Linked DNA regions of Oryctolagus cuniculus. The protein of the gene in region 3 binds, or shares a complex with, the protein of the main gene of each other region. Links are inferred from orthologs where the notes say so. Each region holds a gene or a part of one and is shown on either strand. Other genes may lie near its edges.

Region 1 (10,346 bases), on a different chromosome or scaffold from region 3:
CCGTGCGGCCCGGGCCTTAGCCTTGGAGGCTGTCTTTGGGTGCTCCCTCTGGGCCTGGGCAGGAATGCACCTTATTTCTGCTATTGCTATAATCTCCTGTTTCCTTTGCTTCTCACTAACCAGTCCCTTATTACTCTAAGTCCTTGTTACAGTTAATAATTAAAACAATCATTTACACATTTATTGTTTGATTCATCAGGGCAGAGGGACAGACATGGAGAGAGTCAGATGGACAGAGACAGAGTCAGAGATCCCCCACCCACTGGTTCACTCCTCAAATGCCGGTCAACAGCCAGGGCCGGGCCAGGCCAAAGCCAGGAGCTGGGGCTCAGGCTGGTCTCCCATGTGGGCGGCAGGGACCCAGGTAATTGAGCATTGCCTGCGCCTCCCAGGTTGTGCTGCAGCAGGAAGCTGGATTAGAAGCAGAAGTTCTGGGGCTGGCGCTGTGGTGCAGTGGGTCAAAGCCCTGGCCTGAAGCGCCGGCATCCCATATGGGCGCAGGTTCGAGACCCGGCTACTCCACTTCCAATCCAGATCTCTGCTGTGGCCTGGGAAAGCAGTGGAAGATGACCCAAGTGCTTGGGCCCCTGCACCCACGTGGGAGACCTGGAAGAAGCTTCCGGCTCCTGGCTTCAAGAATGGCTCAGCTCTAGCCGTTGTGGCCAATTGCGGAGTGGCCAATTGGGGAGATGGAAGATCTCTCTCTCTCTCTTTGTAACTCTTTCAAATAAATTAATTAATTAAAAAAAAAAAAAAAGAAGACGACGAAGCTTGAACCTAGGCACTGTGTTGGGGATGCAGGCATCCCAAGCGGCCTCTTAATGGCTGTGCCAAATGCCCACTCCAGGGATTCTTCGTAGCAAACTCTCCCCATTCTCACTACTGCACAGGCTCGCTCTCCTGCGTGAGGACACTAACATTAGAGCCTCTTTCAAATCTGCCAGTAAAATGGAGACTGCTTAATACTGTCACACAAGCATAAATACAATTCATAGATGTGCCTGAGGGGCGGGGAACGTCACAGCTACACACGGCCCGCTAATCACCTGGCCTGGCCCTGCCACGGCAGCTGCAGGTGGGACTCAGAATTCATCAAATCTCCAACAGGCCAGTCTTCAAACTGGTGATTTTGTATGGCCCACAAATGATGTTTGTTTTTTTTTTTTTTAAGATTTTTTTTTTATTTGAAAGACAGTTACAGAGAGAGGTAGGGAATGAGATAGGTCTTCCATCTGCTGGTTCACTCCCCAAATGGCCACAATGGCTAGAGCTGAGCCAATCCAAAGCCAGGAGCCAGCAGCCTCCTCCAGGTCTCCCACGTGGGTGCAGGGGCCCAAGAACTTGGACCATCCTCTATTGCTTTCCCAGGCCACAGCAGGGAGCTGGATCGGAAGTGGAGCAGCTGGGACTTGAACCGGCGCCCACGTGGGATGCCGACGCTGCAGGCGGCAGCTCTGCCTGCTGCACCACAGTGCCGGCCCCAACAGTACTTTCTTTTACCTTCACAACAGCTTTACATTCCACCAGCTTTAGAGTACTGGGGCAACTCGAGAGATGGTCATGAAGGAAAAAGGACTGCGTGCCAGCAGCATGCACGCTGAGCAGTGACTAGCCCCTGAGGTGAGGGAAGGGCCTGGGGCCCAGCAGGGTGAGAGCTGGGCTGCAGAGGGTCTCTCACGCTTCCTTCAGTCTCTGTGATTCTGCGAGCTGGAAGCACGGTCAGCGGAGTGGGCTCAGCTCCAGGAGCCACTACGCTAACGCGTGCCCAAAGCTGCGATCTAATGTAGAACAGGCATGTGTGCCAGGGCTGGGCAGAGCCTCCTGACACCATCATCCACTCGCCCCTTGGCCCCAAGACATCTGTGAAGCCCGGGGTTTCACGCAAGGATAAGGGGAGAGGCCGCTTCAAGGGTTCGTGCTGAGGTGCCGGGGTGTGTAGTGATCTGGGATGCCTGCATTCCACATCAGAGTGCCTGGGTTTGAGCCCTACCTCCACCTTCCATTCAGTTTTATGCTAATGCAACTGGGAGTGCAGACAACTGCCCAAGTAGTTGGGTTCCTGCCACCCAGGGGAGATCCAGGTGGAGCTCCTGGCTCTGGCTTGCCAGCCCTGGCTGTTGTGGGTGTTTGGGGAGTGAACCAGCAGATGGTTGACTCTTTGCCTATCACCTTGCCTTTCAAATAAATAAATCAATCTTTTTAAAAAAATGTACATATTAGAGTAATAAGCTGATAAAGCACTCAAATGTTGACCTAAATAGAAAAAAATTTGACAAATTATATTGTTGCAGGAAAAACACACAGATACTAAGAGGTTTGTTGATATGTCTCATAAAAATGTGAAATATGAAAACTCTTATTTCAGCATTGAGGAAGAAAACTTATCTGAAAAATACAAATTATAGAAAAATTTTATTTTCAAACCTATACCAAGTTTAGATTGCAAAAAAAGAAAAAAAAAGTCCCGACAGAAATCCTGGAGGAACTACTTGATTAGAGAAAAGTGTCCTGTTATGCTGTTATGGGCTGCACTGTTATGACACAATTAGGCTCAGGAGCTAGCCCCTCCCTCAGCAATCAGGAACAGCACACCAACCGCTGGGCCGCGGAACCCCCCCCCCCATCCCGCCCCTTTAGAGTCACAAACTGCCCTTTCTACTTTTTAAGCTACTTCCCGCCTTTTAACAACTTGTTTTTTAAAAAAAAATTATTTATTTATTTTAAAGTCAGAGTTACACAGAGAGAGAAGAGGCAGAGAGAGAGAGACAGAGACAGAGAGAGAGACAGAGGGGTCTTCCAATTCACTGGTTCACTCCCCAGTTGGCCACAATGGCTGGAGCTGCGCTGATCCAAAGCCAGGAGCTTCTTCCGGGTCTCCCACGCAGGTGCAGGGGCCCAAGAACTTGCACCATCTTCCACTGCTTTCCCAGGCCACAGCAGAGAGCTGGATGGGAAGTGGAGCAGCCGGGACTCGAACCGGCACCATATGGGATGCTGGCACTGCAGGCGGCGGCTTTACCCGCTACGCCACAGCACCGGCCCCTTTGAACAACTGTAATACTCACAGTGTGTAGGCTGTATGTACTGCATGCCCCATGTCCAGGCACCAATTTCAAAAAGCAAATGTTTCCTAAGACTGTCATAAAGTACATCCTGCTAACTGCCATCATTTTGATTGATTTGTTTTCTAAATTTTTATTTGTTTTCATTTTATTTAAAGGCAGAGAGAGAGAGAGAGAGAGATCAGTTGATCGACTTTCCATCTCTGGCTTACTCCTCCGATGGTGGCAACAGCAGGGCTGGGCCAGGCTGAAGCCAGCAGCCATGAACCCCATCTGTGTCTGCCACGTGGGGGCAGGGGCCCAAGTGCTTGCGCCCTCACTGCTGCCTCCCAGGGCGCATCAGCCGGGAGCCGGGTGGGAACGAGAGGAGCCGGGGCTTGACCCAGGCTCTCCAAGCAGCAGCTTAGCCACTACGCCACAATGCCTACCCTGATTTCTTACAATATTACACCTAGAGTTTACCTCTCCCAAGACTTGAGCAGAATCAGGTCTAGTAACGGGTTCATACGTGTAGGGCACTGACTTACAATCTGCCCTATCGGGGAAGCAACTAGCAGTTTACCAGATCACCCTCACGACAGCCTCCGTCCTCAGAGCGGCGGATGCACAGGCGACGCGCTCTTGCCCAGACAGCGACGCTGAGGCCCTCAAATCTGCAGTGGCGGCTTTACTAGACGCGCTCTCGCAGCCTCCTGCGAGTCAAAAAGCCCGATGGGAAAACTCAGCAGTTCTCTGGACAGCCAGAGACAGTCCAAGTGTGAAGGTTTCTGATGGTCTTGCTTAATCCAAAGACAAAACTTAGACAATCAAAGAATCCTCCATAAATACCAAGTTCCAGTGGAAACACACACAAGCAAGCAGCCAGCATCGAGTTACGCAGTCTCTGGAAAACCCAAGGGCAGCAAGAACTGTAACTTACTAGGCACTGGGCTGTGCAGATCATTGAGATCCATGATCTCAGTCACTCCTCAAAGCAACCTTGTTGGAATGGACACCACCTGAGCCTTCAAGGCCACATGTGCTCACACAGTGACTGAACTGTCAGTCAAATGTCACTCACCGCATCCGCCATACTGCACAGCACCCCCAAAGAGTGCATGCTCTTGGGGCCGGGGCTGTGGCACCAGCATCCCATATGGCTGCTCCGCCTTCAATCCAGCTCCCTAGTGGCTTGGAAGAGCAGAAGATGGCCCAAGTGCTTGGACCCTGTACCTGCGTGGGAGACCGGGAAGGAGCTCCTGGCTCCTGGCTTTGCATTGGCCCAGCTCCAGTTGTTGCAGCCATTTGGGGAGTGAACCAGCGGATGGAAGACCTCTCTGTCTCTCCCTCTGTAACTCTGCTTCTCAAATAAACAAATACATATTTTAAAAAGCCTTTAAATTTCTTTTACATTTTACTTTTATTTATTTGAAAGGGAGGGAGGGAGGGAGGGAGTAGGATGGGGGGAGACAGACAGATACAAGAGCGCTCCTACCTGCTGGCTCCCTCCCCGAATGCCTGTAAGGGCCAGGGCTGGGCTGGAGCTGGGCATCTAACACTCATTCCAGGTCTCTCACATGAGTGGCAGGAACCCAACGACCTGAGCCGTCATCTGCTCCTCGAAGGGTGTGCGTCAGCAGCAAGACAGAAGCGGGGCAGAGCTGGGGCTCGAGTCCAGACACTCGGATGGAACGAGTACATCTCAGCTGGTGGCTTAAGCGCCCTCCCGCCGGCCGCCCTCCCGCCTCTCCAGTCCACGGCTGGAAGGTCTGCAGGTTCTTCCTCACGCCCACGGCCCCACACAGGGAGGCTGGGAGGTCTGCAAGGTCTTCCCTCACCCACGGCCCCACACAGGGAGGCTGGGAGGTCTGCAGGGTCTTCCCTCACCCACGGCCCCACACAGGGAGGCTGGGAGGTCTGCAGGGTCTCCCTCACACCCACGGCCCCACACAGGGAGGCTGGGAGGTCTGCAGGGTCTCCCTCACACCCACGGCCCCACACAGGGAGGCTGGGAGGTCTGCAGGGTCTCCCTCACACCCACGGCCCCACACAGGGAGGCTGGGAGGTCTGCAGGGTCTTCCCTCACACCCACGGCCCCACACAGGGAGGCTGGGAGGTCTGCAGGGTCTCCCTCACACCCACGGCCCCACACAGGGAGGCTGGGAGGTCTGCAGGGTCTCCCTCACACCCACGGCCCCACACAGGGAGGCTGGGAGGTCTGCAGGGTCTCCCTCACACCCACGGCCCCACACAGGGAGGCTGGGAGGTCTGCAGGGTCTCCCTCACACCCACGGCCCCACACAGGGATCTGGGAGGTCTGCAGGGTCTTCCCTCACCCACGGCCCCACACAGGGAGGCTGGGAGAGGGCTCCAGATGCACTCAGTGAAGCTTCTTCCCGCAGGAAGATGAGGATGCGTTCTGGGGCTAATGGCGACTCTGGGCCGGGGCACCGGCCCGCTTCTGCAGACGTCCCCAATACAGGGTGACTCTTCTGAAACAAAGCGATGCGTATACACACACATCTGAGCTTGTGTGTTAGGTGACCGAATGATACATAAGCTTGGACTCCACGGAGCATGACCAGAAGCACTTGGGTAGGGCTTCTCAAAGGAGAAGGCGGCACCAACTGCCTACGCAGCCGCAGAAGGACCTCCATTCCTGCAGGACGACGGCGCGGCACAGCTACACAGCGGCCCTTCCAGGTGGACCTGCTACAAAGCACTGCATTCTACCCAACCTAAGACGCCTCAGACAGACGACGCACAGTGCTTCTGTGCATCACTAAGAAAGAAATGCTGCCGATCACGCCCTGCTATACGCATCCCACTGGATGTAAGGCAAACAGCAATTCTGGAGATGTAAAACGTGCGAAATGTGTTTCAGGCCACAGCAGAGAGCTGGACTGGAAGAGGAGCAGCCTAGATTAGAATCCGGCACCCATATGGGATGCCAGCACCGCAGGTGGAGGATTAACCAAGTGAGCCATGGCACCGGCCCCTGAAATAATTATTTTTATAAAATTTAATATTCAGGGCTGGCGCTATGGTGTCATGGGCTAATCTTCCCCCTGCAGCACCGGCATCCTATATGGGCACCAGTGGAGTCCGGCTGCTCCTCTTCCAATCCAGCTCTCTGCTATGGCCTGGGAAAGCAGTGGAGGATGGCCCAAGTCCTTGGGCCCCTGCACCCACGTGGGAGACCTGGAAGAAGCTTCAAGCATTGAAGTCTCAGAATTCTGCCACCACCAGTTTCCTTTCATCACCTCAAAAGTTTTCTCCCGATTGTCCTCACCCTTCTGGATGAAATGAGTCATTATTTGTTCTAAAAGAAAAAATGTTTTTAAAAATTATAATTGTTTTAAACCTACAAATTAATTTTTAAAAGATTTATCTATTTATTTACTTGAAAGAGTGACAGAGAGGAAGAGAAACAGAGAAAGATCTTCCATCTGCTGGTTCGCTCCCCACATGCACCCAACAGCCAGGGCTGGACCAGGCTAGAGGCAGGAGCCAGGAGCTCCATCTGGGTCTCCCACGTGGGTGCAGGGGCCTGAGGACTTGAGCCATCTTCTGCTTTCCCAGGCCACAGCAGGGAGCTGGATCAGAAGTAGAGCAGCCGGGTCTCGAACAGCACCCATGTGGGATACCAGTACTTCAGGCCAGGGTGTTCACCCATTGCGCTACAGTGCTGCCCCCCCCCCCCCCTTTAAGATTTATTCATTTATTTTGAAAGTCAGAGTTACAGAGAGAGAGAGAGAATCTTCCATTTGCTGGTTTACTCCCCAGATGGCCACAATGGCCAGCTCAGGGCCAAGCTGAAGTCAGGAGCCAGGAGTTTTATCTGCGTTTCCCATGTGGGTGCACAGGTCCCAATACATGGGCCATCTTCCATTGCTTCCCAGGCCATTATCAGGGAGACGGATTGGAACTGGAGCAGCAGGAACACCCCACGTGGGGCAGCAGAGTCCCAGGCAGCAGCTTTACCCGCGACATCACAGCGCCAGGCCCCAGCAGGCACAATTCTAAGACCCCTCCAAGAGTCCAAGTCCACAGTCAACATACCCTCTCCCGCATATTCAATCAAACAAATTCAGGTACTGTTTTGAAGGTATTTTAAAATATGTAACTCAAATCCCAAGTCAGATACACCATCCAGGTAGGCTTGGTGACCTTAAATCTCAGCTTAGAGGTCGGAGAGAGATGGTCTCGAAAGCTGAAGCCTAAGAAAGCGTGGGCACACAGCTGCTGGTTTGGAGACGACGAGCAGGAAGCACGGAGCGCAGCTGCGTCAAGGCGCTGAGAGCCGCTCCACCGGCAGCCGGCCAAGAGCTGGGGTCTGCAAACAAGCTGGGAAGCTGATTCTTCCACAGAGCCTGCTCACACCTTGACCCCGGCTGTTCAGCGTCACAGACAGACACCCAGTCACCCCACGCCAGCCTCCGGCCTGCAGACTGTGGACTAACATTATCTGCTTTTTGAATCTCCAAGGTTGTGGTGACCCGTCATACAGCAAATGGAAAACCCACACATCTGTCTTATTCAGTTGGCCTGGACCTAGAGGGTAATATTTAAGTAGATAAATATTGTTGTTAGGAGGAGTCTTAGCAATCGTAGTAGTCAAGAATTAGAAACCACAGCAGTCATCTGAACACAGATTTGTTAGCCAGCAAAGGTGGTTATTTTTTTATTTTTTTAATTTGAGAGGTGTGGAGAGAGAGAGAGACAGAGAGACAGACACACAGTCGTAGAGTGACCCGTCCTCCACAGTACAACATGCAGGACTGGGCTGAAGCACAGAGGGGGCCTCAGCCCAGGTGTCCCACGTGCATGGCGGGGTCCGAACCACTTGAGCCACTACCACTGCTTCTGCGGGTCATGCTAGCAGGCACTCAGGTACCAGACACGGGCGTCTTGAACAGCAGGCTGGACCTCGCCGCTGTGCCTTCACTGACTTGTTTTTAAAGACTGACTCATGTATTTGAAAGGCAGAGTTACAGAGAGTGAGAGTGTCACAGAGCTCCCCTGCGTCACCTGTGGACGCACAGAGACAGGGAGGAGTCGCCTGTGCCTGTGCCTGTGCCTGACGAGCCCTCCGGCGAAGCCAGCTGCTCACGAGAGAGACGCTCACAGTGCCTGACTCCCCCCTCTGCTGGTTCACTTGCCAAAATGCCTGTAACTGCCGGGGCTGGGCCAGGCCAAAGCCAGGAGCCAGGAACTCAATCTGGGTCTCTCACGTGGGTGGCAGGGGCCCAAGGGGTGGGGCCCTCCCTGGCTGCCTCAGAGGGTGCAGTAGAGGGAAGCTGGAATTGGAGGAGGAGCCAGCAGTCCAATCTGGGGGCAGAATTCCCAGGCAGCAGTGCCAAACGCCTCCCCCAGCTTTAATTTGCATCAGCTGATTCAAAACGAAGTCTATTTCTGTGAGGGCTGGATTTCAGAATCATCTTTAGGTTCACCATGTGTCTAGGGCAAAAAGTCGTGTTTCTTCCTCTTGGGGAGGGGCGTTCCCACCGGGGTCATTGCCCCTTTGTTACCCCTGAACTCTCCAACTCCGCTGAGAGCCCCACTCTCTCTGCTCAGCCCTCGGCACAGCGCCTGGGCTGCAACGCCCCGGCTGGCTCCCGTGCACCAGCGCTGATCCCATCTCTTCAGCCTCCCTTCTCTCCAGGAACTGGGCCCCTCAAAATCCTTAAAGCCCTGCTGGCATCCAACGTCTTCAAATGTTGCCTTTTTTTTTTTTTTAATCATCTTCCTAAAATTTTTAGTTCTTGGTGACAGCGTTGGTCAGCAGTCTGGCTTGGCCAGAAGCAGGAGTCCAAAAATACTAAATTTGACTGGATGACTTTCCAGATAGCAACTGGGGTAATCTCAGGAATCCTCTTTCTCCGTCTACTACAGTGTTGGACGTTAACAGCATGAACTCACTGGGTCTAGACTCTATCGCTTTAATATGCTGCTGCACTCGTCTCCAGCTCTCTTTAGAAATAAACTTCATAAATATCAGTACCAATGAGTCACACTTTCTGACAAATCATCCAAGACGCTCACATTATCTGACAAAAACCTAAAGCTGGCTTTCTTCCTGTCACTTTCATGTTTTTGGTTTCATAATTGTGCTAGCTTCATAAAAAATTGTATAGCTATCCCTCTTGTTTAAGTTCTAAGGCAATTTACACAATATAAAAGGTATAAACATTTGAAAAGGAGAAGTTATTTGCAGGTAAATTTTATATAACCAAGATGTCTTCTTATTATGCTCAGGCTTTCTGGGTTCTCAAAGGAACCTGCGACTCCTTCAAAGACACCGTCCTAACACAAAGTCGGGGCCAATAAATGTTGGCTTCCTTTAACCTAACAAGTTGGGCTTTCTGCTTTGTACTGTATCATAATAAATATCTACTGTCTCTGAGACAAGGAACTGCTTTTCATTACCCCTGATTTTAAAATTAGACACTAGGGGCCGGCATCGTGGCACAGTGGGGTACGCCACCTCCCGCTCGCATACTGGAGCCCTGGGCCCAGTCGTGGCTGCTCTGCTTCCAATCCATCTCCTTGCTAGAAAGCAGCAGAAGATGGCCCAAGTGCTTGGGCCCCTGGCTTTGGCCATGCCAGGCCCAGATCTTTTGGCTATTTGGGGAGTGAATTGGTGAATTGGTGGATGAAAGATCAATCTCTCTGAAACTATGCTTTCAAAAAAAAAAAAAAAAATCTGTTCAGAAATAAAATTAGGGGCCAGCACTGTGGCGTAGAAGGTTAAGCCTCGGCCTGCAGTGTTGGCACCAGTTTCAGTCCTGGCTGCTCCACTTCTAGTCCAGCTCCCTGCTAATGCTACTGGGAAAACAGCAGCAGATGACCCAAGTGCTTGGGCCCCTGCACCCATGTGGAGACCCTGAAGAAGCTCCTAGCTCCTGGTTTCAGCCTGGCCCAGCTGGAGTGAACCAGCAAACAGAAGATATCTCTCTCTTTCTCTCTACCTCTGTCTTTCAAACACACACACACATAAACAAATAAATAAATAAATAAATAAATAAAATTAGGCTCTGGAAGTCTGGGAAAACTATTAATGGAACTGAAAATGGGATATTATTGTTCACTGTATTTTTTTTTTTTTTGACAGGCAGAGTGGACAGTGAGAGAGAGAGAGACAGAGAGAAAGGTCTGCCTTTGCCGTTGGTTCACCCTCCAATGGCTGCTGCAGCCAGCGCACTGCGCTGATCCGAAGCCAGGAGCCAGGTGTTTATCCTGGTCTCCCATGGGGTACAGGGCCCAAGCACTTGGGCCATCCTCCACTGCCTTCCTGGGCCACAG
Region 2 (9,546 bases), on a different chromosome or scaffold from region 3:
GGAACCACCTAATTAGGCACGCACTGCTTTGATTTTAGAGATCCATTCATTAAGCAGATGTTCGTTTAATCCTCTGTCTGATGCTAGAGATAGAAAGATGCATTAGATCAAGTTCCTGCCCGCAAGGAGTCGGTCTTGCTGGGAGTGTGAGGAGGTATCTGGGCAGCAGCTCGGTGAGCTAGCTACGGTGTCCCTCGGTCTGGACAGCCTCAGAGAGGCCAGCTGCCCGCCTGAGTCTATGGAGCGCTGACTTTTCAGCCTGGGTTGTATTTGGCTTAAATCCAGCTTCTAGCTGAGAAGAGTCACTGCTGAAAGTAGGTTGTAAAAAATTGGCTTCGAGTGTGAGCTCAGAGGGCAGAGTGGTTGGTTAGCTCCACCCTGGAGAAATGGAAGCCCTGCGTGAAGTCCACAGGCCTTGTCCATGGTGGCAGAAGGTGGCCTGGGGGTCATAGTTACATTGTTTCTTCTCTGACACTATTTTCTTTCTTTTTTTTTTTTTTTCTCTTTTAAAGATTTATTTATTTATTTGAAAGGCGGAGTTAGAGAAAAAGAGGGAGAGACAGAAATCTTCCATCCTCTTGTTCACTCCCCAGTGGCTGCGATGGCCGGAGCTGGGCTAATCCAAAGCCAGGAGCCAGGAGCTTCTTCCAGGTCTCCCACGTGGGTGCAGGGGCCCAAGCACTTGGACCCTCCTCCGCGGCTCTCCCGGGAGCATTAGCAGGAACCAGCACAGATGTGGAATGCTGGCGCGGCAGGCGGCAGCTTCACCTGCTGGCCCACTGACAGTATTTTGTATTACTCTCCCTGTTTCCTGATAGCGAGTAGTAGCAGAACCATGAACGAGAGGAGCTGGTACGCTTTTCCTGGGGCTAGAAAAAAGGGGAGGTGCTGAGCCCCTGTTCAACTGCGGGCTGAAGGAGGAAGCCCGGCAGCTGACGAGAGAAGACCGTGGTGGCGTCCCTGGGGTGTGCCCTAGAGAAGAGCCTTGGGAGCCGTCTTGGGCCTGAGCAGTAGAAAGACGCACGAGATGTTCTTGGCACAGAACTGACCGCGAGAAGAGGAAGGGGGAAGTGGGCGGCACCCAGGGCTCTCAGACTCCAGCCTGAAGCAGACAGCGCTCTCAGTTCTTCCCTGAGACGCCCACCTGCTCTGTCAGGTGTGTGCTTTAAACTTGGCCTGCTTACAAACTGGCCGTGACCGCCGTGACCATATAGCCAGGACAAGTGCAGACGTTGCTGTGGGACGTCCAGAAGAGGCGAGCCTGACTTAGCCTAACCTGGGAGGCCTTCAGAAGTGTTCAAAAGAGATGGCCTCGGGCTGCGTGCTGAAGGCCAAGGTAACTAGAGGGAGAAGGGCTTCTTGGAGAGACCGCGTGATGGACGTGGAGGGGTGAGTTTGGGGAACTGCGATTGCGTTGATGCAGCTGGACTACAAGGAGCTACTGGGACCAGGCAGGAGGTGAAGTTGAGAGGACGGGACAGAGCAGGGCTGCACCAGGCTGAGGCACACCTGGGTCTGCTCACCTGGGTCCCTGGGGACGTGACTTGGGTAGCTGATAGACAGTAGATGCTTGGTACGTAGTGGTCGTTTTTACTCTGTGTAGCTCTCTGTGGGCGGACTCTCTTTTGAAGAGGAAACCGAACCAACTCCTAAGTTTACTAAAGGGAGAGGGTGTATGTGAGTGCAGATAATGGTCTCCCAGCAGTGCAGTGAGGCTGACCTGGGCCGGAGCGACGGTAGCAATAGCCGCACAGTCAAACTCCCCTCACCCTTCCTTGGTGCGTCCTGCTGGCTTTCTCTGCTTTTGCTCCTTGTCTGAGTCCCTCATGGCTCTGCCTGAATGGGGTCCATCTGGCTGCTGCAGCTCCTGAATCTGTCATCTCTCCTTGCAGATGAAATGCTGAGCGAGGGATCTACTCATGTTCTTTCTAGCAAGGCCCTGACATAGGTTATTGGCCAGGCTGGAATGCCCTTTAGTCTGGTAACCTTCCTGGCCGCGTCTCGGCCGAGGTGGAAATGGGGCGTGGACACCTGCGTGTGTCCACAGCAAAGACTAAAATGGGCAGAGCGGGTGCCCAAACACATGTCTGTCTCATCCATTCTAATATTTTCCTAAATTTTCATTCATTTAGAGCAGCATGGGGGCAGGCAGGAGGATCGTCTGTCTGCTGGTTCACTCCCCCAAATGCCAGAAGCAGCCAGACCTGGCATAGGCTGAACCAGAAGCCTAGAACTCCCATCAGGTCTCCCATGTGGGGGGCAGGGACCCAAGTACTTGCGGCGTCACCTGCTGCCTTGCTAGGTGCACGTTAGCGGGAATGTGGCTCGGAACGGCGGGGGGGCGGGGCTTGGACCCAGGTGCTCTGATGATGTGGAATGGGTGCTTCATGGGTGCTAGGTGCTTGAGATTCATGGGCAAAAACCGAGCCGCAAATAGAAAATATTCCACAGCATGTTTCTGTATCTGTGTAGCATGTACCTAAGTTATAATTGGGCATTTCTGGTCTCTTTCTTGAGAATTGCCTAATCCCATTTGTCTGTGTATATAATCATGCGTCCAAAAGAGGATTTGGAATAGGACCCATGATGAGTTAGAGGCCCAGCTCGGCAATAAACGACATTCTCCCTGCTCTGTGGCCGCACCTTCCTTTTATTTTCTCTGGATCTGGTGCACTTTAGGTGTACCTGAAAGTCTTGGTTTCACCACTCCTGAGAGGTGGCCCTTACAACAGGTCAGACTCCGTGCTGTGAAGCGAGAACACTCGAATTTGTTGTTTCAGGCATTTATTTTTCCCTTTACTCTGACGCTCACTCGGCATCTTCTTGGCTGTGTGTTAGGGCCGCATCTTCTGGCCCTTACGTGTTGGTCATCCTGAGATGAAGTGAGACACTGCTGCGCGGAACCCTCCATCTAGTGGAGCGAGCGCACTGGCCTCCAGGCTGAGGGGGCGTGTGCGGACGCACCGTGTGGGCGTGCAGGCTGCAGGGCTGGGAGTGTCAGCCAGCCGCACTTGCGTTTCTTTACCTCTGTCCTGAAGGGCAGGCATCAGGGGTGAGAGGCAGCTGAAACAGAGGTAAGGACAGAGGTTAGCCAGATGTGCACTCAGAAGGACCATGCTGGTGATGGTGACGACACAGAGGGTAGAGGGAGCGAAGACTGGGGTGAGGGCATTCACAGAGAAGAGGCCTGAACCTGCGCATGGCAGTGCGGAGGGATGGGGAAAAGGGGCAGTCTGTGGGTAAGTTTCCAGCTTCCATCTGAAATGCCAAAGCAGTGGTCTAGTCAGAAATTCTGCTCATTCCTGGTGCAGAAAGCAACCCCTAGAACTGTTTCCGTTACTCCCTTTAAGCGCTCTTTGTGGCTTGTTAGAACGCAGAGCGCGCTTCCTGGGGGTCACAGCTCATTCTTGTTCCACCTTCCTGGTTTGCCTGCGCACTCCCTTGTCCCTCTCACCTCGCAGGGCTCTCGGGGCTGTACCCTGAGTGAGTTCAGCGTGGCTGCGGTAGCTGGCTTGGTAGGGAAGCAAGAGTCAGCCTAGTTGTGAACGGCGGTGTTTGCTTTCCCTTCAGCCTGAAAGACGATGACAGCGGGGACCACGATCAAAATGAAGAAAACAGCACACAGAAAGATGGTGAGAAGGAAAAAGCCGAGCGCGAGAAGAGCCAGGGCGGCAGCAAGAGGAAGGTGGGTGACGCCGCCAGACGCGGCTTCCTGCGTGCTGCAGGCTGCGTCTGGGAGGGGCAGGTGAACTTAACAGCACCCTGTGTTGGGATACCTGCTTTTGTTCTCATGAAAGGATTGTAGAGGCCTGGGGGCTCATTTTGGGGTTAGGATTTCTTGGTTGACATAGGATCTTAGGTGTCGCCTTCTCCTGGCCTGGGAGTTAACAAGGCCGGTGGCTGCTTCATGGTCCTGCACAGCCCGTGAAAGTTTGACCCCTGCAGTCAGTGATGGTCTATGTTGACATTTCACTTGCAAAAGAGAAAATGCAGAGAATGACAGATGGATCCGTTTTTTTTCCTTGAAATAAAAAATAGTCACTAATTCATTTATTCTGCATTATTGAGTTCCCTCCGAGGGGTAGCATTTTATGCTAGGTGCTGAGAAGACACAAACGTGAATTAGACTGTGGGTCAAGGAACTTTCATTTCTTTTTAATAAGATGTGTTTATTTGAAAGGCAAAGTCGCAGAGAGATGGGGGTAGAAGGGGTGCGTGTCGCTCCCCCTCTTCGTGGAGGAACGACACTAAGCCCTGCCTAGGCTTCATATCCGAGTCACGGCACCATTATGTTGCTCCCCCTCTTCATGGAGGAACGACACAGGACCCTGCGCTGTTCTTTCGTCTGCTCGGCCCTCCCCGGGTTTGCTGCTGGTTCTTCCCAGGTTGGCTGCTGGTCCTTCCCGGGTTGGCTGCTGGTTCTTCCCGGGTTGGCTACTGACCCTTCCACCTCCGTGGAAGGGCGGTTCCCCCTGCCACATTCCCCACTTCCGCGGGGGAGCGGTACACCGCTGGCCGGCTCTCTCGGGGGCTGCACAGGTGTCCCCCTTAGATGTTCCTGGTGCATGTTGTCTCTCTCCTCCTTTATAGTCCTCTTCCACCAATCCCAACTCTGCTACCCACACGCCGAGTACACTGCTCTCCTCCAATCAGGAGCAGGTCCTGCAGCTTGTCAAGTTGGTGAGAGGCAGCTGTGTAGAAGCTGGTTCCTCCTCTCCCAGCGCCATATTGTGGGAGAGCAGATGCATAGAATAAGTCTTAATTCGAGTAACTTAGTCTAGTCCGAGTTGCTCCCAGTTGCTCCCCACAGGTGGGAGAAGAGAGGTCTTCCGTCCACTGGTTCACTCCCCAAATAGTGACAGCAGCCGGGCCTGAGCTAGGCTGGAGCCAGGAGCCAGGAGCCAGGAGCTTCCTCCAGGTCTCCCATGTGGGTACAGGGGCCTAAACACTTGGGCCACCCTCCACCACGTTTTCAGGCCAACAGTGCAGTAGCTGGATCAACAGTGGAGTAGCCAGGACTCACACCGCTACCCGTGTGAGATGCTGGAGCTGCAGGCAGCAGCTTTACCCCCCGTGCCACAGTGCTGCACCGCTTGTTTTTAAAAAAAGATTTATTTTTATTATTTATTTTAAAGACAGAGTTACAGAAAGAGGGAGAGTCAGAGAAAGAGAGATCTTCCATCTGCTGGTTCCCTCCCCAAATGGCCGCAATGCGGGAGCTTCTTCCAGGTCTCCCACGTGGGCTCAGGGACCCAAACACTTGGGCCATCCTCTACTACTTTCCCAAGCACATTAGCAGGGAGCTGGATTGGAAGAGGAGCAGCCAGGACTTGAATCAGCATCCGTATGGGATACCGGCGCGGCAGGCAGCGGCCTTACCTGCTATGCCACAGCAGTGGCCCCAGAACTTGCGTTCATTTATTTACTTTTGCTTTTTGTTTTGTTTTGTTTTTTAGGAAGAGAGAGGCAAACTAATTCACTCCTCAAGTGCCTAGAACAACTGGAGTGGTGCCAGCAGCTAGGAACTCGGGCCAGGGCTCCTAACTGGGTGGCAGGAGCCCAGTCCCTTGGGCCTTCACTGCTGCTTCCCAGGGTCCCTGTTAGCAGGAACCTGTAGTCAGGAGCTGCGTCTCAACCCAGGCACTTGGGCGTGGGCTGTAATCATCTGAACTGCCAGGATAAACACCCGCCCCAGGGCTCACGTTTGATATGAGCATTGCTTGCTTGCTTTTTTTTTATTTCAAAAAAATTTTTTTAATAGAAAACTTTTATTTAGTAAATACAAATTCTGAAAGTATAACTTTTGGATTCTAGCAGCGGTTCTTCCCCCGCATAACCACCCTCTCACCCGCAAACCATCCCATCTCGTACTCCCTCTCCCATCCCATTCTTCATTAAGATTCGATATGAGCATTTCTAATAGTGGCTGACACTTAACTGAGCTCCTCCTCAGTGCTAGGCTCTAGCTAGGCCTCTGATGTCCTGCCAGCAGCCCTGTGGAGTGGTGGCGGTTTTCCTCATTTTGCAAGTAAGAAGCTGAGATACAGGGGTCAACGCTGTGGCTTGGCGTCTTAAAGCCCCTGCCTGCAGCACCGGTGCTCCAGTACCTCCCAGCCCCACTGTCGACCCAGCTCCCTGCTAAAGCGCCTGGGAAAGCAGCAGAGGATGGCCCCAGTGCCTGGGACCCTGCACCCACCTGGGAGACATGGAAGAAACTGCTGGCTTCTGGCTTCAGCCTGGCTCAGTCCTGGCTGTTGTAGCCATTTGGGAGTGAATCAGTGGGTGGAAGATCCTATCTCTCTCTCTCTCTCTCTCTCTCCCCCCCTCCCTCTCCCCCCTCCCCCTTCCTCCCTCCCTCATTCTCTCTGTCTTTCAAATAAATAAATCTGAAAAAAAAGCAACAGGTGAGGTACTAACAGGTAAAGCATCTTGCCACTAATAAGTGATAAAGAGCGTCATAGAAGAAGCAGTGCTAGACTGGACATAGGTTAAGATAAGATGCAAGGCCGGCGCCGCGGCTCAACAGGCTAATCCTCTGCCTTGCGGCGCCAGCACACCGGGTTCTAGTCCCGGTCAGGGCGCCGGATTCTCTCCCGGTTGCCCCTCTTCCAGGCCAGCTCTCTGCTGTGGCCAGGGAGTGCAGTGGAGGATGGCCCAAGTGCTTGTGCCCTGCACCCCATGGGAGACCAGGAGAAGCACCTGGCTCCTGGCTTCGGATCAGCGAGATGCGCCGGCCGCAGCGCGCTGGCCGCGGCAGCCATTGGAGGGTGAACCAACGGCAAAGGAAGACCTTTCTTTGTCTCTCTCTCTCTCTCACTGTGCACTCTGCCTGTCAAAAACAAACAAAAAGATAAGATGCAAACAGATAGCTGTGAGATGAGGTAGAAAGTCACAGAAGCCACCCCAGCAGTGCGGGGCGGAGAGTGGGAGCTCACTGTGTAAGCAGGCGCCTGGGCGTGTGCTCGTGCTTGGTGTTTTGTCCTCTCCGCTGTGGAAGCGGTGAGGGTGTGCTGTGAAGTCTCTGACTCGGAGCATGTGGCAGACCAGGGCTGACAGACCTCTGCTCCCCAGGCTGTTGTCCCTGGACCGGCAGAGCACCCCCTGCAATACAACTACACGTTCTGGTACTCCAGGAGGACCCCGGGCCGCCCCACCAGCTCCCAGAGCTACGAACAGAACATCAAACAGATCGGCACCTTCGCCTCTGTGAGTACCTAGTGGGCCAGGGCGGGCCTCGGCGTCCGCTCGGCCGTGCCCGTCGCGCTGGGTGCTCGCCCTCTTGGTGACCCGTGTAAGGTGCTGCTTTCTAACTCGCTGACCGAGCCCCCAGCGGCAGATGTGTTCCCTCTGAGATGTCGTATTTGACATCCAGAGTTAGTAGGTGGTATTGATCAGAAAGGCATAACAGAAAAGTACAGTTTTATCTTTCTGTCTTTTAAGTACGTATTTATTGAGTCCTTAGGACATGCAGAGTGTCCTGTGGTCGTTACACGTGGTGTCCATCTTCGTAGAGTTGCATGGTAAAGTCAGAAGCAAAGTTTCAAGTTTCCTTTGTATTTAAGAACCTCTCATTAGGGTTTTGGCCACAACTTTTCCTTTGTTTTAAAAAGAAAATGAAACCTCCGGTCACTGCTTCTGTGGGTGCCATGGGCACAGAAGGCCCAGGCTTCGTCTCATCCCCCTCCTGGGTGACAAGACTTGTGTGTCCCAGGAAGCTGACCGCAGCTGACACCAGGCGTGTTCGGCCAGGGTCCGTATGTGCTGCTGTGTGCCGTGCACTCCCTCTCTGGGCAGAGTCAAGTGCAGGATTTGTCGCTTTCTGGAAATGACTGAGGCATTTATCTTGAAGGAGAGCACTGCCATAGGCAGTAACCATTGCAGTGAACTGGTGAAGAGAGGGTAGCAGCCACAGGCGTTTCACCTGTGTGGTTTTCTTCATTTTGCTGCCCCATGAGGTCAGTTTTACAAATGAGGAACCTGAGGCGGGGCCTCCATGTCTAAAGTCTCAGATCAGCCGTAATTCGCTTGGGCTAGTTAGGGAGCCAGGCTTGGTTGTCAGCTTCCAAAGCCCTTACCATGCACCAGAATACAAAACAGGCACCATGCACGAGCTGTTTGTGATATTTCAGAGAAAGCCTGCATTTATTAATGAGAAGGCTGTTCAGGCCAACCAAATGAGATCCCCGCCTTGGGCTGAAATTCTGCCAAGTTGGTCTTGTAGTGCTGTGGGTCTCACACTAAGCAGGTGATCTGATTACCAGTTAAATATGGACATCTGATGTTCGATCAGTGGAAAATAAATGTAGTCGGCATGTCACCAGCATTTTTAAAACTGGAGCCGCCTTGGAGGAGGTGGGTTTGAGATTGAATTTAAAGAATCTGAACAGGTGACGAGAAGAAAATTCTAACTTTGGAAATACACACTTCTAACATTCCGGAATGCATTACAGAAGTTTTAATTGCCTGAACAACAGTGAACTAAAAATAAAAAAGAAACAAATTTTGATTTCCTGTTCTGTGGGAATGATAGAACACGAAAATGACATTCATTCATTGTGTTCTGAGTGACTGTTAACCGCTTGAGGAATCAGAGACGAGACTGGACTGAGAAGTACATTTTCATTAAGAACCCTGTTAAATTATTTTAGAATAAATATAAATATGTCCAACATTCTCATTTCTCTCTTGTAAAAAAAAAAAAAAAAACCCAGGGCCGGTGCCGCGGCTCACTAGGCTAATCCTCCGCCTTGCGGCGCCGGCACACCGGGTTCTAGTCCCGGTTGGGGCGCCAGATTCTGTCCCGGTTGCCCCTCTTCCAGGCCAGCTCTCTGCTGTGGCCAGGGAGTGCAGTGGAGGATGGCCCAAGTGCTTGGGCCCTGCACCCCATGGGAGACCAGGATAAGTACCTGGCTCCTGCCTTTGGATCAGCGCGGTGCGCTGGCCGCGGCAGCCATTGGAGGGTGAACCAACGGCAAAGGAAGACCTTTCTCTCTGTTTCTCTCTCACTGTCCACTCTGTCAAAAAAAAAAAAAAAAAAAAAAAAAACATGAATTTACCCAATTTGTACATGGAGGGTGTTATGGTCTTTCCTTTAAGCTCATATGTTAAACTGGGAGATTGATCAGGCACGCCTTCCTGGGTGAACACTTCTTCAGGACTCACTGGAAGTGTGACCGAGTGCTTGGATCTGCTGTCGTGTTATTAAGCGCTTTAGGAAATGGCTCATTATATTCAATTGCCCGCAGAGAAGTAATTACATTGTGAAATGTGTTGTCAGATACAAAGTAGTATTTCCCAGTGGTCCTTGGTTCTAATCTTTGACAACATTTTGACATTCTTGAAGCCAGCATGACTAAGCAAGCAGTATCCTGAAACAGCAGAGGACTAGGAGGGGTTACAGGCTCTCATCTACTCTGATGCTGGGTTCCGTGGGCCGGATCAAGGCCTGAAGCCGCCTTTTCAGTGATAAAATGAAAAATAGTAGTTGAGATAGTTTCTGATCTCTTTATTGGACTATAAGCATTTATTTGATTTCAGGTAGGACTT
Region 3 (10,184 bases):
GCTTCAGATCCCGCTCCTTGCTAATGCGCCTGTCAAAGCAGCGGGAGGTGACCCAAGTGCTTGGGCTCCTGCACCCATGTGGGACATCAGGAGGGAGTTTCTGGCTGCTGACTCCAGCCTGTCCCAGCCCCGGCCATTGTGGCCGTTTAGGGAGTGAACCAGTGGATGGAAGACCTTTCTCTGTCACTCCCTCTCTAACAATGTGCATTTCAGATAAATATTTAAAAAAAAAAAAGATGTGGTATCTGCAGGGGGACAGACCCAAAAATCACTAGAACAGAATAGAAAACCTAGAAAAAGGCTCACGCAGGTGGAGCCAACTCGTTTTGACAAATGTTTTTTTTTTATTTATTTATTTTTTTTGACAGGCAGAGTGGACAGTGAGAGAGAGACAGAGAGAAAGGTCTTCCTTTTGCCGTTGGTTCACCCTCCAATGGCCGCCGCGGCCGGCGCGCTGCGGCAGGCGCACCGCGCTGATCCGAAGCCAGGAGCCAGGTGCTTTTCCTGGTCTCCCATTGGGTGCAGGGCCCAAGCACCTGGGCCATCCTCCACTGCACTCCCTGGCCACAGCAGAGGGCTGGCCTGGAAGAGGGGCAACCGGGACAGAATCCGGCGCCCCGACCGGGACTAGAACCCGGTGTGCCGGTGCCGCTAGGCGGAGGATTAGCCTATTGAGCCGCGGCGCCGGCCCGTTTTGACAAATGTAAAAATGGTCCGGTGGGCAGAGGATGGTCTTTTCAACCAGTGTCCACACTGGCAAACAGGCAAAAGAAACTAACCTCGGTCCTCTGTGGACAAGAAATAAATAATAGGAGATGGATGGTAATCTAAGTAGCAAAAGCTGAAGCTGTAAAGCTATTAGGAGAAAATGTAGGGAACAATCTTCATGACGTAGGGTCAGGCAGGGGGCTCCTGGAAATTGTCCCAAAAACAAAATCCATTCAGGGAAAATTGAGAAATTGGACTTTAACAAAATTTAAAAACTGGCTCTGTGAAACATGTTAATAGGATGAAAAGGGAAGCCATGCACGGGGAGAAAATGTTTGCAAATCACTTAGGCAGCAAAGGACTTGTATCCAGAATATATAAAGAACTCTCTATGCTCAAGAAGTCGGCCACAGACAACCCAATTAGAAAATGTGCATAGGCCGGCTCACTAGGCTAATCCTCCGCCTTGTGGCGCCAGCACTCTGGGTTCTAGTCCCGGTCGGGGCGCCGGATTCTGTCCTGGTTGCCCCTCTTCCAGGCCAGCTCTCTGCTGTGGCCAGGGAGTGCAGTGGAGGATGGCCCAAGTGCTTGGGCCCTGCACCCCATGGGAGACCAGGAAAAGCACCTGGCTCCTGGCTTCGGATCAGCGCGATGCGCTGGCCGCAGCGCACCAGCCATGGCGGCCATTGGAGGGTGAACCAACAGCAAAAGGAAGACCTTTGTCTCTGTCTCTCTCTCACTGTCCACTCTGCCTGTCAAAAAAAAAAAAAAAAAAAAAAGGAAAAAAAAAGAAAATGTGCAGAAGTCTTAAAAAATTAATTTATTTGAAACGCAGAGATACAGAGAGAAAATGGGAGAGACACACACAGAGAAGTCTTCCATCTGCTGTTTCAGTCTCCAAATGGCCACAATGGCCAGGGCTGTGATGATCTGAAGCCAGGAGCTTCCTCTGGGTCTCCCACGTGGGTGCAGGGGCCCAAGGACTTGGGCCATCTTCTGCTGCTTTCCCAGGCCACAGCAGAGAGCTGGATGGGAAGTGGAGCAGCTGGGTCTCCATCTGGCGTTGAATAGGGATGCTGGCACTGCAGGCGGAGTCTTTACCAGCTACGCTACAGGGATGGCCCCAGGTCAGAAGCCTTGAGTAGATACATCAGGAGAAGGGGGGGTGGGTAACGATGGGGCTAAAACAAGCGCATCTCAAGATGTCAGTTCCGGGGCAGGCGTGTGGCCGCATGAAGTCAAATGTGTTCCCGTATCAGAGAGCAGGTTCCAGTTCCAGCCACCCAGCCTCTGATCCAGCTTCCTGCTAATGCATCCTGGGAAGGCAGCAGAGGACCGGCACAACTGCTTCAGTCCCTGCCACCCACGTGGGAGTTCCAGAGGGAACTCCAGGCTCTTAGCTTCAGCCTGGCCCCTTGCTAGCTGTTGTAGCGACTTAGGGAATGAACTAGCAGGTGGAAGATAGCACTTCCTCGCGCTCTCTCTCTCTCTTTCTCCTCTCCCCCTCCCTCGATCACTCTGCCTTTCAAGTAGATGAAAATAGATACACATTAAAATTAAAAGCTGTACAACTGCATCAGCCTTTAAGGAACTGTGCACGAAGACCAGGAGGAAGCAGCACCACCGCCTCCCCAGAGTGGCTAAGATACAAAGTATCCACAACTCGAGTGTGGGAAGCAGGCAGGCAGCCTGGCGCTTGCACACAGGGCTTGTGGACCTGAACCATGGAGCAGGTATTCCGGAAAACGGCTTGGCAAGTTCTTCTTTGTTTAAGATTTATTTATTTATTTTAGAGGCAGAGCTACAGACACGGACAGGGAGAGACACAGAGAGCGTGAGGTCTTCCATCTGCTGGTTCACTCCCCAAATGGCCACAACAACCGGAGTTGGGCCAATCCAAAGCCAGGAGCTTCTTCTGGGTCTCCCACGCGGGAGCAGGGGCCCAAGGACTTGGGCCATCTTCTACTGCTTTCCCAGGCCATAGCAGAGAGCTGGATCAGAAGTGGAGCAGCCGGGGCTCGAACTGGCCACCTATGTGGGATGCTGGCATTGCAGGTGAAGGCTTAGCCTACTAGGCCACACACTGACCCCTGCAGTTTCTTCTAAAATGAGACAGACACCATATGACTCGGGAAAAAGCACCCCCGGACATTTAAAAACCTGCACAGTGGTGGCCATCCACAGTTTTCTTTGCAATAGCTCCAGGCTGGAAACAAGGCAGAGGTCTTTCCGTGCAGGAATTGGTAAACCACGGAATGTCCACACCACGGAATACTGGACAGCAATGCGGGCTGGGTTAGGGATGCCTGTTGTGAACACTGGTTATGTCAGCTTTTATTTTAGTTTTATTATTATTAATTATTTGACAGGCAAAGACACAGAGGGAAAGGGAGAGACAGAGAGAGAGTGGTCTCCCATCCACTGGTTACTCCCCCAGATGGCCACAAGGCCAGGAGCCAGGGGTCTCCCATGTGCATGGCAAGTACCTAACAACTGATTTCCCCAAGAATACCCCTCTTCCGATGCTTTCTTTCCCGGATGCATTAGCAGGGAGTTGGATCGGAAGCAGAGCAGGTGGGACTCGAACCAGGGCTCCGACACGCAATGCCAGTGTCGCGAGCCGCGTTCTAGCCCACAGAGCCAGCCCCTAGGGCCGCTAAGCAGGACAGCAGGACCTGCGCCTAGATGCAGGGGCATGCACGGGATTCCGCGAACACGCCGCCCCCTTGCGGGGGTGGGAGGAACAGCCTAGGGTTTCCAGAGGTAGCGAGGACTCAGCCGAGAATGTCTGACCGCGGAGCCCACGTCCTGGAACGGGGAGGGGGCGCGTGTTGAAGCCCTGAACCCCGGGAGGGCAGGCGGAGACCAGCACAGCCTGAGTGGCAGGAGGAAACCCTGGGAGATCTGGCTCCTGGAGCGAGCAGCGAGCGGCTGCGACACGGGCTGCCCGTGGGTGATAAATTCATGATGATGGGCAGGTGCACTTAGCAAGCCGGGGGCCAGTGCTGACTTGCCAAGGGGGTCTATTTGCTCCACCAAAGAACCCAGCTTGTGGCAGGGAGCAATTCTGCACGCACGCAGTTAACGTGAAGGCCCATCCTGTGTCATCATTAACAACAAGCCCGGTTAATGAACAATCTTCAGGATGCCTAAAATATGCCTTAAAAATCTTTGCTGTCCAGGGGTGGGCGCTGCGGCCACATCGGAGCGCGGGTTTGAGTCCCTGCTAGCCCCCCACCTCTGATCCAGCTCCCTGCCAATGCACCTGGGAAGGCAGCAGGTGGCGGCCCAAGTACTCGGGGGTGGGAGACCCAGATGGAGTTCCCGGCTGCTGGCTCCAGCCTGTCCAGCCCCCTTGGCTGCTGTGGCCATTCAGGGAGTGGCTGTGGCATAACGGGTTAAGCTGCAGCCTGCAGCACCATCATCCCACAGACACCTACGGTATCGGCTGCGCCACTTCTGATCCAGCTCCCTGCTAATGCACCTGCGAAAGCAGAGGAAGATGGCCCAAGTGCTTGGGCCCCTGCACCCACGTGGGGGACCCAGAGGAAGCTCTTGGCTTCAGTCTGGCACAATCCTGGCTCCCGTGGCCATCTGGGGGAGTGAAACAGCAGATGGAAGACTCTAACTCTGCCTTTCAAATAAATAAATATATGTATATATATATATATATATATAATTTTTTTTTAAGGCAACGGAACTGTAAGAGGCGACGACAGCGGTCAGAAACTCCAGGTGTCACCAGCCAGCGGGGCCTCGGGCCGTTTCTAGATCGGCAGGGGTTTTGCTCATTTCCTATATCCCACGAGTTCATCAGAACAGTGTTGCACTTTGTCTCCTCCTCCAATCCAGGAGGGCTGCTTGGAGGAAGCCGGCCGGCCAGAAGAAACCCGGGATGCCCCTCACAGGCCGCAGCTGCCATCCCCAGGGGCGCGGGTCACGTGCCGCGGGGGCGCGCGCAGGCAGCACCCCGGGGACACCCCTTCCCCGGCCTGCAGCCGGGGGCCCCGCGTCACGTGACGAGCCGGGCACCCGGGTCACGTGCCGGGGGTGGCGGTGTGAGGCTAGACTCGGGGGCGGCGGGCGTCCGGGCTGCGCCCCGGCGGGCACGCGGGGAAAGCCAGAGGCCCGGGGGTGCGGGTCCGAGCGGGCCCCGGCCGCGGCGGGCGGCGGCGGGCGGCGGCGGCGGCGGAGGGGGCGGCCCCGCGTCCGCGTCACGTGGTGCGAGGCGGGCAGCCATCTTGCTACAAACACAAACAGAGAGGAGCGGCCGCCGCGGGAGCGCCAGCGCCCCCTCCCCCGCCGCCGCCGCCGCCGCCGCCGCCGCCGCCGCCCCCCGGCCCGCCGCGCGCCGCCGCCCGCCGCTCGCCGCCCGCCGCGCGCCGCCAACGCCCCAGGACCGAGCCCTCGCGCCGCCCGCCGGCCGCGGTAAGCGCTCGGCGGCTCCGCGGACCCCGGCCCGCAGCCGGCCCCGGGGCAGGCCCGCCCCCGACGCCGCGGCGGCCGCGCCGAGCCAGCGGGAGCCGGAGCCAGCGCGCGGGCCGCCGGCACGGACTCTCCCCGTCTCCTCCCGGAGGCCGCCGCCGCCTCCGCCGCCCGGTGCGTCCGCCCTCCGCCCCTCCCCGCCGCGGGACCCTCCCCCGGAGCGGGCCCGCCTCGGCGCGGGCTCGGGGTGGGGGGGCGGCCGGCGCCCCTCCCTGAAGGGCACGCCGTCCTCCCGGCCCGGCCCGCGCCGCCCACCCGCGCGCTGCTAACGGTCGCCCCTGCGGAGCCCTGCCCGGGCCCCTCCCGCCCGCGGGGCCCCTGCCCCGGGCCCGCGCGCCCCGGGCCCCGCGGGGCGTCCAGGGCGGGCGCTCCACGACTCGGGCCGACCTGGAAGGCTCCCCCGCCGCCCGTGCCCCCGCGGTGCCCCGACGGTGCAGCAGCGCCCCGGGCGCTCACACTTTGCCTTTTCCTCGCGTAACTTTAGGGAGACCCTCGCCCCTGGTCGTCCCTGGAGTTGCCACCAGCGTCCAGGTCAGCGGCATCCCGGTGCGGGCGCGGCCGAATAAATACTTGCTGGCCGGATCCTCCCTCCAGTCACCCCAGTCTCGCTCCGCTCTTGCTTCTCCAAGCGCGGCTTTCCCGAGCACCGGTCAGCGCCACTGCCCCTCCCGGCTGACAGCTGGCCGCGGCGCCGGCCCCCACCCCCCCTTTGCTGCCGACCTGTGGGAGTTTGGGCCATGACTCCTGCCCCCTCCACCCCAGCTGCCCGGGTTCTGTGGGTCCTGGTCCCCCCACTTGGGGAGAGTTCAGGGCAGAGCTGCCTGGAGCCCCCGGGGACCTCGGGGGTCCGCTGGGGCGGTGATAATCAGGTGCGGGGGTGTGTGCCTGGGCTGCTGGCCACACACGCGTTGGTGCCGCGTGTGACACGGTGCTCAGGGGCCCTGGTGTACGTCGGGATGGAGTTTGGGAAAAGGAAAAGTAGCCCCACTCTGAAGGAGAGAGCGCGGGGAGAAGAGGAAGGCTGTGGGAGGGCTTTGAAAAGTCTAGCAAGAAATGTAAGCATGGCTCAAGCTCTCCGAGCGGGGGGCCAGCGGGGGAGTTTGGGACGGCCCCTGGCCCGGTGCACACCTGCCCCAGCCTCAGATGCTGGGTACCTGGTCCCAGCCCCCGTGCCCTCCCTTGTTGTCCCTGGCTGAGCAAGTGGGCAGAAGGGATCAGATGAGGTCAAGTGTGACAGTGGCTCAGAAGTTAACAGGCCCACGATTGCCAAGGGCTGTTGCTGTTGGGCGGGATGGCTCGGCCGGGAGGAACCCTCACCCCACCCCTCGTGGAGAATCTGCATCCCTAGGCAGGACCAGGTCACCTCCAGGCAGGTGTGGGGCTGTGCCGAGGCCGGAGGCTGCTGGAGGGAGTCACCAGACGCTGTTCTTAGCCTAGCCCAGCGCTCCAGGTCCATGCAGCCTGGGGGGAGCGCCTGGGACCAGGGTGCGTCCTCTCACCTCTCCAGTAGGGGGCAGCAGTGAGGAGCTAGGGGAGCAAAGGTACACTGAGGCAGGAGAGAGAGGACCAGGGAGGGGGCACACAGCTCGGACATAGGCCAAGTGCAGGGCCAGGAGGAGTGTGGCAGGCCAAGGTGGGCTTTGAGCAGCCTGCAGGAGAGAGACGGACGTGGTCCTGCCCACCCCCACCTGCCACCTCTCCCCTCTGCTTTGGTGGTAAGGGATCCAGCTGCTTGGGCCGCAGAGTTTGTGATAAGCAAACTTGGGACCTTCGAAGGTTTGCCTCCTGGCAGGATTTCAGATTCCTCTCGGGACAGCTGTGCAGAGGGAAGATGGGGGGAGGGTCACATCTGCTTTCTCTTCCATTAGGGCTGCGAACCCACAGGGCTTCTTTGCCCCCCTTACAGTCACTGCCCACATTGGGGCCAGAAACGCCTTTGTCAGGGGCTGCTCCGTGCACCCTGGTCCCCTGCCCGTCTGTTCCCCTCTGCTCAGGTGCCACCGCCCTGAGTGGCAGTCCCCTGGGGAGCAGAGGCAGCCCCCCCCCAGAAGTACCCTGCTCCCCTAGTCCTGTTAGTGTGAGGAGGGGGCGGCCCCTTTCCTGCCTTGCCCTCTCTGTCCCCGGGTCTCCCCCAAGGCGTGGGTGGGTTGGGCGTTTGCCCCAGTCTGAGCCACTCCCCTCCACTTCCAGCGGGACAGAGAGGACAGGACACGGGCCACCGAGGAGCCCTGTCTGCACCGCTCCCTGGCAGGCGGGAGGGTGAGTCACCCCTTTTTCTGCTCTCTCGGCTTCTGCCTGGCAGCCTGGCCCGGCCCCTGAGACCCGTGTCTGGCCCTCTAAGGCTGAGCTTGTGTGAGGGATGGGGCTGGTTTTTCCTGGAGTGGAGAAGCCTCGGGTCTCAGTACTTTTCCCCTGAAAGCTTTCTCTCTGGTGGTGAAATACGTGTAACTTGAGCTGCGTTTGTTTTAAAGATTTGTTTATTCGTTTACTTGAAAAAGCCACAGAGATCCTCCATCCACTGGTTCACTCCCAGGTAGCTGCCCCGTCCGTCCGGGGCTGGGTCAGGCCCAAGGCCAGCTCGCAACTCCTGGTCTCCCACGCGCATGCAGGGGCTCAGGCACTTGGACCATCTTCCGCTGCTTTCCCAGGCCATAGCAGGGGGCTGCATGGGAAGTGGAGCTGCCGGGACTCGAACTGGCGCTCCAGTGTGGGGTGCTGGTGTCACAGGTGGCAGTTTAGCAGTTTAGTCTACAGCAGCACAGCGCGGGCCCGTGAGCCACGGTTAGGCAAGCTCTCTGCAGCTTCGGTGCAGCCAGCACCGCCATTGTCCCCAGCGCTTCCTGCCCCCCGCACCCACCGTGTGCTGTGCCTCTGTGTGCCTGCCTTGCCTGGGAGCCTTGCCCACGAGCAGGCCTGCTGTGGCTGCCCCCTCGTGCCTGGAGGGTCTCAGCGTCCCGGCCTCCACTGCACCGCGCAGGAGGCCGTGGGGTACTTGGCCTCTCTGCTGGCTTTGTGTGCTGTGTGCCCTGAAGGGAGACGTTCCCCTGCCCCGGGGGCCGCCACTCCAGGGGCCAGCGTCTCTTCCCGGGCCCCTCCAGAGGGAACCCACTTCTCTTCCTCCCCAGGCTGTGGCGTCCTGGAGTGCATGGTGCAGGCAGAGACAGGCAGCTCCAGCCTCCCTCCCAGCCAGTGACGGAAGCCCCTGCGCCTGCCCCGACGCCTCCCCACTGCCCCCAGAGTCCTGTGCTCGGTCCACCAGGGATGCACCTCCTCCTGGGGGTCTCCCCTGTCCTTTAGAGGAGCCGGTCACTGCCTCCCGTCAGCCTCTGACCGTGACCTTCTCTCTGGTTTATGGTGAGGAATCCCTTGTCGCTATTGCTCTAAGAACTGTGCCCCCTCGGCTTTTTTGGTCGACTGACCCTGACGTGGGGCCGGGGGCCTGGGTCTGTCTGCCTGCCTGCTTGGTGATCCGGCCCGCCATGCACTGGGCCAGGCCAGCAGCCTGCAGCGAGTGCCCCTGCGTTGGTCCTGGGCAGCCTCCTTTCTGACAGCGTCCGTCAACTCCAGCCTCCAGGCAGCCCATCCGGATTCCTTTCAAGAGACAAGTCATTTTGCTCCCAAATTCCACCACTGGCCTCCTCTCCCTGGGATATTTGTGGCTCCAGTGGGGTTTTCGTTTGCTTGTTCTTATCTTTGCCCTGATGTCCACCTTGATCTTGGTTACGTCTGTTCCTAAACTCTGTGCCCTGCCCTGTCTGGACCTCCCACTGGGAGTGCAGAGGAGCTGGTGCACACTGGGCACCCAGGGGCCTGCGCGTGTGCTGGGCAGTGTGGGCCTCCGGTTTATGCAGGGTAGAGGAGGGCGGGGGCAGGGAGGCTGTGGGCCCCCGTCCCTCTCAGCACCTGCCTCTCTCCTCAAGGACTCTTCCCAGATGTGAGGGTCCCTCCCGGACACTGCTGAGGCCAGATAGATAGCCAGTGGCTTGAGGACCCGAGTTCACTCCAGTGCCGGCCCTTTCCGGAGAGAGCCCAGCCCTGCCCTCCCGCTGCCCAGGGGCAAGGCCGCCGGGGGAGGCTGGGCCCAGGCAGCACGGCTGTGACCACCAAAGGCCTCCAGCCCCCAGGTCTTGCCCACCTGAACTCTTCTCGGGTTAACTCATGGTGTGTGCAGCCACGTGGCTGGTGTAGGTGAGTCCTTTCAGAAGCTGGGTGACCCAGCCCAGCCCGAAGCCTGTCCCTGTGCCCGCGGGGCCGGTCGCCCACGATGCAGGTTTCTCCGCTGTCCCCAGGGTCCGGCCTTCTCTGTGCTCCACAGGTGTTTGGAGCGTGAAGCCCGGGTCCTTGCTCGTCACTCACCCCTGACCTCCAGGAGCCACGCCCAGCCTCAGCATGGCGGCGGAGACGCTCAACTTCGGGCCCGAGTGGTGGGTCAAGTGTGCGGTGGCGGGCGTGGGGGGGCCAGGAGGAGAGCACGGCGCCCCAGCCTCGTCCTCCTCTGCCCCCCCCCCACCTGTTCCAGGCTCAGGGCCCTTTCCAGCGGCGGCAGTGTGGCCTCCCCGCCCGCCTCCCCTGCCATGCCCAAGTACAAGCTGGCTGACTACCGCTACGGGCGTGAGGAGATGCTGGCCCTCTATGTCAAGGAGAACAAGGTGGGGGCTGGGGGGCGTTGCTGTGGCTCCACTGCTCGTGGCCTGGGGCAGCTGGAGAACAAGGTGGGGGCTGGGGGGTTGCTGTGGCTCCACTGCTCGTGGCCTGGGGCAGCTGGAGAACAAGGTGGGGGCTGGGGGGGGGTTGCTGTGGCTCCACTGCTCGTGGCCTGGGGCAGCTGGAGAACAAGGTGAGGGCTGGGGGGGTTGCTGTGGCTCCACTGCTCATGGCCGGGGGCAGCTGGAGAACAAGGTGGGGGCTGGGGGGGTTGCTGTGGCTCCACTGCTCATGGCCGGGGGCAGCTGGAGAACAAGGTGGGGGCTGGGGGGGTTGCTGTGGCTCCA

Evidence for each region.
Region 1: the proteins of GIGYF1 (region 3) and TNRC6C are in contact, whole or in part, in a crystal structure (PDB 7RUQ), measured with the Homo sapiens proteins. The link is inferred for Oryctolagus cuniculus from reciprocal best matches to the Homo sapiens genes GIGYF1 and TNRC6C. Residues at the interface, in NP_001362694.1 of Homo sapiens: Tyr479, Asp481, Pro482, Gln487, Phe490, Trp498, Tyr503, Phe504, Leu508; in NP_001136112.2 of Homo sapiens: Arg1719, Pro1720, Pro1721, Pro1722, Gly1723, Leu1724, Thr1725.
Region 2: the proteins of GIGYF1 (region 3) and EIF4E2 are in contact, whole or in part, in a crystal structure (PDB 5NVK), measured with the Homo sapiens proteins. The link is inferred for Oryctolagus cuniculus from reciprocal best matches to the Homo sapiens genes GIGYF1 and EIF4E2. Residues at the interface, in NP_001362694.1 of Homo sapiens: Leu36, Ala37, Asp38, Tyr39, Arg40, Tyr41, Gly42, Arg43, Met46, Leu47, Leu49, Tyr50, Glu53, Asn54, Lys55, Val56, Pro57, Glu59, Leu60, Glu64, Phe65, Ala67, Val68, Leu69, Gln70, Asp71, Glu72, Pro73, Leu74, Gln75; in NP_004837.1 of Homo sapiens: His54, Pro55, Leu56, Gln57, Tyr64, Lys83, Gln84, Ile85, Gly86, Val91, Glu92, Trp95, Arg96, Phe97, Tyr98, Ser99, His100, Met101, Val102, Arg103, Leu107, Phe113, Ile137, Arg138, Leu139, Arg140, Gly142, Leu143, Ser145, Arg146.

What each region holds. Positions count from the first base shown.
Region 1 is NC_091448.1:3,392,905-3,403,250, forward strand, and holds the start of TNRC6C (trinucleotide repeat-containing gene 6C protein), read right to left. Parts: upstream 4,855-10,346; 5' UTR 4,605-4,854; coding exon 4,537-4,604; intron 1-4,536. UniProt on the Homo sapiens protein: Plays a role in RNA-mediated gene silencing by micro-RNAs (miRNAs). Required for miRNA-dependent translational repression of complementary mRNAs by argonaute family proteins.
Region 2 is NC_091434.1:6,903,286-6,912,831, reverse strand, and holds part of EIF4E2 (eukaryotic translation initiation factor 4E type 2), read left to right. Parts: intron 1-3,570; coding exon 3,571-3,685; intron 3,686-7,071; coding exon 7,072-7,206; intron 7,207-9,546. UniProt on the Homo sapiens protein: Recognizes and binds the 7-methylguanosine-containing mRNA cap during an early step in the initiation. Acts as a repressor of translation initiation.
Region 3 is NC_091450.1:42,865,437-42,875,620, reverse strand, and holds the start of GIGYF1 (GRB10-interacting GYF protein 1), read left to right. Parts: upstream 1-5,113; 5' UTR 5,114-5,136; intron 5,137-5,152; exon of another isoform or gene 5,153-5,307; intron 5,308-5,677; 5' UTR 5,678-5,724; exon of another isoform or gene 5,725-5,842; intron 5,843-5,864; exon of another isoform or gene 5,865-7,383; 5' UTR 7,384-7,452; intron 7,453-8,318; 5' UTR 8,319-8,547; intron 8,548-9,113; 5' UTR 9,114-9,381; intron 9,382-9,482; exon of another isoform or gene 9,483-9,508; 5' UTR 9,509-9,582; coding exon 9,583-9,617; intron 9,618-9,712; coding exon 9,713-9,842; intron 9,843-10,184. UniProt on the Homo sapiens protein: May act cooperatively with GRB10 to regulate tyrosine kinase receptor signaling. May increase IGF1 receptor phosphorylation under IGF1 stimulation as well as phosphorylation of IRS1 and SHC1.